Linked DNA regions of Sus scrofa. The protein of the gene in region 2 interacts with the protein of the main gene of each other region in a pairwise test. Links are inferred from orthologs where the notes say so. Each region holds a gene or a part of one and is shown on either strand. Other genes may lie near its edges.

Evidence for each region.
Region 1: the proteins of TTC23 (region 2) and CREBZF interact in binary tests that used the Homo sapiens proteins (3 or more experiments, as listed by UniProt). The two-hybrid records come from large-scale screens. The link is inferred for Sus scrofa from reciprocal best matches to the Homo sapiens genes TTC23 and CREBZF.

The regions. Positions count from the first base shown.
Region 1 is NC_010451.4:19,592,628-19,596,378, forward strand, and holds the start of CREBZF (CREB/ATF bZIP transcription factor), read right to left. Parts: upstream 2,488-3,751; 5' UTR 2,175-2,487; coding exon 1,114-2,174; coding exon of another isoform or gene 1,110-1,113; exon of another isoform or gene 897-1,109; coding exon 881-896; 3' UTR 819-880; intron 1-818.
Region 2 is NC_010443.5:137,966,083-137,969,733, forward strand, and holds part of TTC23 (tetratricopeptide repeat protein 23), read right to left. Parts: intron 1,385-3,651; coding exon 1,234-1,384; intron 1,079-1,233; coding exon 953-1,078; intron 1-952. UniProt on the Homo sapiens protein: Participates positively in the ciliary Hedgehog (Hh) signaling.

The DNA of each region.
Region 1 (3,751 bases), on a different chromosome or scaffold from region 2:
AAGATTCTTTGTGAAACCTCACTTTACACGTTTTCATTCACATTTCATAACCGTCAATAGCTAATCATACATAAATTTAACCTAAAATTTTAGTACAACAAAAATAAAGGTGTTCAACAATTTATTCATACTCAGTGATAGGATAATCACTGTGCTGGTCCTCAAAGAGACATTCCATTGACCATGCTTATTCCCCCTTCAATTAACCAACACAGGAGTCTGATGTGCACATTAATTTCCAATTTCTCTAATGGTGATATAAAAACCTATAATCTGAATAGACTGTATGTCTAGACCTAAGAAAACTAAAAGGCATTCTTGATTATTCAAGAGATTTCTGTTATCTCCGGCAAAATAACTATCACATTTGTGCATGCCCCAAGTACTTATTGTCAACCTCTGAAAAGTTGCTCTAAAATTGGAATTCCAATTTGCACCTTGTACAACTCGGAACTTCCATTCAACTTCACCTGTGTCACTGTCTCCAAACTGTATCTCTATTAGCAGCTTTCAGTGTACAGTTGGAACCGATGTCATCCAAGGCCATGTCCACACTGGGGACAGAAGAGCTAGGTACACGCAAGTCTGAACAAGGGGACACATTAACAGCTATTTCAACCAGAAGAAGCATCTTGAATACATTACTGACCAGCACAAGTCTGTTTCCAGGGTGGACAGGGCCCAAATTAGATTCCCCTCCCACCTTCCAAAAAAGAAAAAAAAAAAAAATCACACACACACACACGAATTGAGATGTTGCCCATTAAAGTAGACTAAGCAGCAGAGCATGAGCGTTACGTGAAGAGATGGATCCTTACCAGGTTGTGAGGCGGGAACGACTGTTCTGTAACCCCTACAACGGAGCCTGGCAGGAAGGAAATCACCTAAAAAAGAAACTGTCAGAGAGATTTAATAGTCACATGTTATCATTAGGAGTTGGTTACAGTGTCACATTCATGCTTTTAGCTAAACACTTAAAGATTCAATATTACTTTTTTTTTTTTTTCCTCCTCTGAAATGTGTCCAGTGAAGATGTCCCACTAAGGTGTTTTACATGGTGTAAGGGAGTTGAAAGGGGTAAACGCGGATAAAGAGCAGATTACTTGACCCTACATTTTAAGAGAAGACGACGCCTTCCGGGCGCACGCTGAGCAGAACTCCACCGACACCTTATCCTTGTCCACATGAAGACACACTCCTCCGGCTGAGTCGTCCTCTTCCAGCAGGTCCTGCTGCTGCTTTCCCACCGGCAGCGCGTAGTCATGGTCCCCGGCGGGCGAGTCTCTGAAGAGCGAGGTGGTCAGCCGCAGTCCCACGCCGCTCAGCCGGCTCAGCAAGCGAGCCAGTCCGGTCTCGTTGGCTAAGACGGCCCGTAGGTAGCGACTCTCCTCCTGCAGTGCTTGGACGCGCTTGCCCAGCTCCCGATTCTCGGCCCGCAGCTCCTGGTTCTCGGCTGCCAGACCCCGGACTCGGCTCTCCAGCCCCATCACGTACTCCTTCTTCTTCAGCCGATTCAGACGAGCGGCCGCCGCCGCCGCCTTCCGGGGACTCTTTGTCGCCGCCTGGTTGTTGTCGTTGCCGCCGCTGCTGCCGCCGCCGCCTCCGGGGGACTTTCTCCGCCTCTTTTCGCCGCCGCCAGTGTCACTGCCGCTGCTGCAGCCGCCGATGCCGTTTAGCAGCCTCTGCAGCAGGTCAGAAAAGCGCTGCATCTCAGCGGCCGCGGCCTCGTCGTCGTCGTCCCCTCGCCACAGGCCACCGCTCTCCGAGCCTCCGCCGGACGAGGAGAGAGGCCCGGGCGAGCTGAGCCCGGGCTCCAGGTGCCAGTCTGGCTGCCGGGGGTCCAGCAGATCCGCCAGTTCCAGCCCGGACAGAAAGTCCATGTCCTCCGTTTCGTCCCCGGGGACGCTGGCGACCGCCTCCTCCTCCATCTCCTCGGGCGAGGGCGCGCGCACGGCCACGCCGCCGCGGCCCCCCCTCCCGGCCTCCGACTCGCCCTCGTTTCCGCGAGGCTGTTTGCGGCCAGGAGATCCGGCCGCCGCCGTCCCCTCGTCCTCCGCCGCCGCCCGGCTCAGGTCCGGGGGCAGCGAGAAGGTCGCGGCCGGCGCCGGGCTCTCGCTGCGGGTTGGGGAGTCGCTGCCCGAGGCCGCCAGCAGTTTGGTCAGGCTATGCCTCATGGGGCCCGGCAGCGGGCCCACGTAGGCCCCGGCCCCTCAGACCGGGCCTCGCGGGTCCCAAGGACCCAGAGCAGGTTGCCGGGGTGCAGGCCAGAACGAAGTGAAGGGGAAGGTCGGAGTCACCTCCCGCCCCCACTTGGCTGGTCGACCCCCCGCGCTGCGGCGGGGGGGGAGGGACGGGAGATCGGAGCGGCGAGGCCCAACGATGACTCGACCGCGCCACCCAGACAACGGCCTGGCCGGAAGTCGGTCGATCTCGGCCCGGCCCCTCCCACCACATTTCCCGCTCCACCAGGGCCTGGTATCGCGAGAGTTCTGTGAGGTCGAGAGTAGGAGTAACTCCAGATTTCCAGTGATGTCATAGTAACAGAGGCAAAAATAACAACAAACCTAGGATTTATCTAAGGAGTGGCCACTCCTCTGGGCCCTCAAGTCTCAGTCCCTGTATTCTAGCTTCCATCTGCAGTAAAACCACTGTCATTCGAAATGATCTTTTAGATACACCAAATTTATGAATTTAAAATTATCCTGATGATCAGATTCTTCTTGAAAATTATTCTTTTCTCCTTTCGTTATAACATGTGATTTTTTTCAAACACAGAATACTGGAAGAAAAGAGAGGTAAATAAGTCTTTCATATATAATTTAATTTTTCCAAGTTTTTATTTTAAAAATTTCCAAATATACAATATGTGAATATGTATGTAAAAGAATATTGCAGTATATACTCTAATTGAACACTACTACCCAATACTCAGACTTAACAGTTCAACAATTGTCCTTTTGTCAAATGTGCTTTATCTGTATGTAAAGGTTGGTAAAAACAATTTTTCTTTTTTGCAGAATCATCCCAAAGTTGCAGATAAGACATACTCCCAGAATTTCATACTTTCTCAGAATTTTTCATCTATATTTGAACATTAATTCTTCCAGATAACTTTATAACATTTTCCAAGTTCAAAAATAAGCTGGAATTTTCGTGGAAGTTGCATTAAATTTATTAATTTATTTTTCCCAGTTACTTTATGCATTTTTTGCTACTAGACTAGATTATTTCTTCTTTTATATTTTCTAAATGGTTATCATTGCTACATAGGAAAGCTGTTGATTTTTTTTGTTAAATTCTTAACTGATTCACCCACTGAACTTCCTTGATAGTTTTTATTTTTAGCTTATTCATTCAAATTTCCCTGGTAGACAATCATATCACCTTATTGTACATAATGACAATTTTGCCATCTTCTTTGCAATACTCACTTCATTGTACTGACTAATAATGAAATAGCACTTCCAAATTGATGTTAAATAATGCTTTTAATAACTAACTTCTGTGTCTTATTCCTAACTTGAACAGGAACACCTGTAGTGTCTAGCTGTTGATTTGAGATGGATGTTCTTACCAGGTTATACTCAGTTGTAGGAAATAGAAACCAATTCAAGTATTTTAAGCAGAAAAAGATGTAATGGAGAGAAGGTGCTTACAAAGTAACTGGAAGAACTAGAGGAGGGGCATTAGGCTGGGTGATCAAGAATGCCTCTCAGTATAGGGTGGCCAAACAGGCCTGACAGGGAGCAGC
Region 2 (3,651 bases):
AGGTTTACATAGGCTGATGAATTATCTGCCCTTCAATTAATAAGAGTGGGCTTATGATTACCAAACATCTTTTAACACCATGAAGCAAAGTTAGTCCTCCCCAGTCTCTATTCACATGGAAGCCCTGGGTGCATCCTCTCAGGGCCCTTTTCTTCTGAAAATGACTTTAGTGGGTCCCCAAGTTCTCTTGGGAATCAATCCATGCATGCAGTCTGATTCTTAAGTTACACTCAATTCTTCCAGCTTTGGTTAAGGGACGCCATGCTGGTCTGCTGGGGATTCTTTGTGTTTCCTAGAATAGACTTTTCTCTGCCCTCTTCCTCCCACAAACACACCCTTCCTAAGAGTGTGCACAGACTCTGTCACTCCACTGCTGTGGGGAATTGGCTTGGGCGGGGGGACCTCTGGGGAAGGATAAATGTGATGACACTTGAGGCCCACCCCCCTCTCCCCAGGCTCCAAGCATGGTATCTCTTCCATCTGAGTTTACCTGGTGAGTGTGGGGTGGGGGTAGGAAAAACAAGGAACAATCCTCTCATCCTCATGGATTCAGATACCTTTAGGATCTTTCTCCTTTGAGGCCCTAATCTTAAGATTAGTGTATTGAAATATTTCAGAATAGAGTGGGAGTGGGGGGGAGGGAAGGGAACGGAAGTAGGAGGAGAGGCAAGGAGCTCAGGCAAGAAGCAGAAAGTTAAGCAAACGACATGAGAACTCTAGGACTGGGTGGATATGAGAGCTCTACATGTTTATGGAGCAGTGCCACTGACACATGTGTCTTACTTATGGCAGCTCTGACATGACCATCGTCCTCCCTTTCATACTCCTGGACAATGGCCATGGAGAGTCCATGGACACAGCATGGTGAAGCTCCTCCTGCCTGAAGACAGATTCTTCTGGCAAGGAACTCCCAGGCATCACATATACAAAAAGTCCTAAACTGGAAACTCACTGTGCAAATGACAATTTGATCCGCGCTTGAATTTCCATCCATTCTTCCTTTATAATCCTTCCACACTGCAGCAGCTCTTTCGAAATCCTTTCAGCTTTTGTCAAATTTTCTGAAGCTTCCTTAAATCTGAGTTGTGTTCAGGAAACTTGACACTTGGTGCTACCTTCTGGGGCCTCGGTTCCAGGACACTCTTGGCTCTCATACTCCCCACCACCCTTCCTGGGTCACCTGTCACCTTTCGATTTCACCTTGAAAATTAGTGCTGAGAGGCAAAAGGATACTTTTGAAGGGAGAGTAAGGCTCTCCCCATGGTATGGAACAGCTCAACCGAACACTTGAAAACATCTGTATTGTCACTGTAGGCAGGCATGATGAAGTTGGTGAGTATTTCTTTGGCTTTTTCTGCATGTTGTTTTGCTTGCAGTGACAGTCCTGTGGACCAAGAGAAAGAAGTCTCAGTTGTGCTTTCATTTCAGCTGGTCAGGAATGCAGTTATCTATGGCCAGGGAATCGAATGAGGTCTCCTTTCTAGATCATCAGCTGGCACATGGAGATATATCGGGGCAGCCTGAAATACTGTCATGACTGTAAGAAACAAATAAGTGTTTGATAGCTAGTACTCAAGACAAATTTGGGGGTGAGGGGTAAAATTTCTGAATTTTCTACTTACCCATCCATAATCAAAACTTTATTTTTTTCTTGTCTTTTTGTCTCTTCAGGGCTGCACCCACAACATAGGAGGTTCCCAGGCTAGGGGCTGAATCAGAGCTGTAGCTGCTGACCTACACCACAGCCACAGCGGATCTGGGCTGCATCTGTGATCTACATTGCAGCTCACGGCAGCGCCGGATCCTTAACCCACTGAGCAAGGCTAGGGATTGAACCTGTGTCCTTATGGATACTAGTCAGGTTCGTTAAGCACTGTGCCACAACAGGAACTCCTAATCATAACTTTAGAGAAGTATTTTTACATAATACAAATACGATGACATCTATAAAAACTAACAAACACAATTCCAATGAGGCAAGGGGCTAATGTGCTATAACCTCTTATTTCTAAGTGGTAATAGACTAATATGAAAGAAATGGAGCTTAAAAAAAAGTTACTACCAAGAATGAATTCCCAATGTGTCCCAGCATTCCTGCCTCCCATCCTCTTCCCCACTGACACACACTTCCACCCATATCCTAATACTCCTGGTCTTCCATTCTTCACTACCTGGAATTGTATCTCAAATTTCTAAAAAAAAAAAAAAAAGAAAAAAAGAAAAGCTATCAAAATATGAAGTTCATTCTGTTCCTAAGTCTATAAAAGAGAAAATATTTTCTGATTGAGAAAATCCAGGGTATGCTATTCCTATAGGAACCCTTACAAAATTCTGTCTTATTTTTTTTAAGCACACAGTCTACCTACCAGAAATTAATAAGTGCCAATACTGTAGGCAATATTATAAAAGTCTTTATGAATTTTAGTCTACTTCCTCAAGGAACTTGAACTCGGTCTACTAGAGGCAGCGTGGATTGAGGTTCAAGAACACCAGCTCTGAAATCAGACTGCCCAGAATGAATTCTCTCTCCCACCACTTACACTGAAATGTTGCCCTCAGCTTCCTTGACTGGAAACAGGGGTAATAATATTACCCACCTAATAACACTGTAATGAAGACTGAGTAAAATTACATATGGAAAATAGCATGGTGCCTGACACTCAATAAGGCCATAAATAGTATATACTGCTTTTACTTTAAGAAAAAAAGACTGTCATGCAGAAAGGTATCAGACTGTGGAAGAAAAACATATGCCAGGACACTGGTACTGACATCCAAAATCCTAGGTCTGAGACTTAGATCAGCTATCTATTAAACAGCATGACCTGGAGCAAGCTACTCAACCCAAACTCACTCACTGCTTCCTCTGAATCTAGAGAATAGAGGGATGGGGGTAGGGTTTGAACTAGCTGATCTCCAGGGTCCCCTCTGGCTCTATGAGTCTTTGATCCAACAGGGAAGTCTAGTACAGATTTGGTTAAATTTATTGGGTGGCAATTGCATGCTTAGATTTGTGGTGTTTTCCACTTCTATTCATTTATTTATTCTTTGGGCCAATCCTGAGAAATCAGTACCATCATTATCAGTATCATCACTTTTCAGCTAAAGAAACAGAGTACAGAGATGTACTCTTGCACATCTTGTCTTAGGTTGCCAGTCCATGTTTTTTCCCTCTCTGCATCCATTCTCCTTCCTCTGTTTTCCTTGGAGGATGCCCAGCCCCTACACCCCAAGTCCATGTGATTTAGCCAAGGCCAGCCTCTCCCCCAGGATCCAGTGGAGCCAGACTATCCCTTGCCTTTAGCATACAACTCAATTCAGCCCAATAAGAATCCTCAAAGCCTGAGATTTTGCCCACATGGTGGCAACCTTGCTGCCACCATGTGGGCAAAGTCTGGCCAAGAATGGGGCCAATAAAGAGAAAAACAGAACAAAGTGCTGGGAAAAGAGAGGAGCAGAAATCTGATCACATTGTTTAGAAGTATGGATCTGGCTAAGTTTACAGAAAGTTTTAACCTTGGATTTTTAAGTTGTATGGCCCAGTAAATTACCTTTTGTTTATCGCCAGCTTGATTTAGCCTTGATTTTTTTTTTTTGAGGCAGATGTCACTTATAGGCCAGAGACTTTCTGTCAATACAAAGGTGAATGGA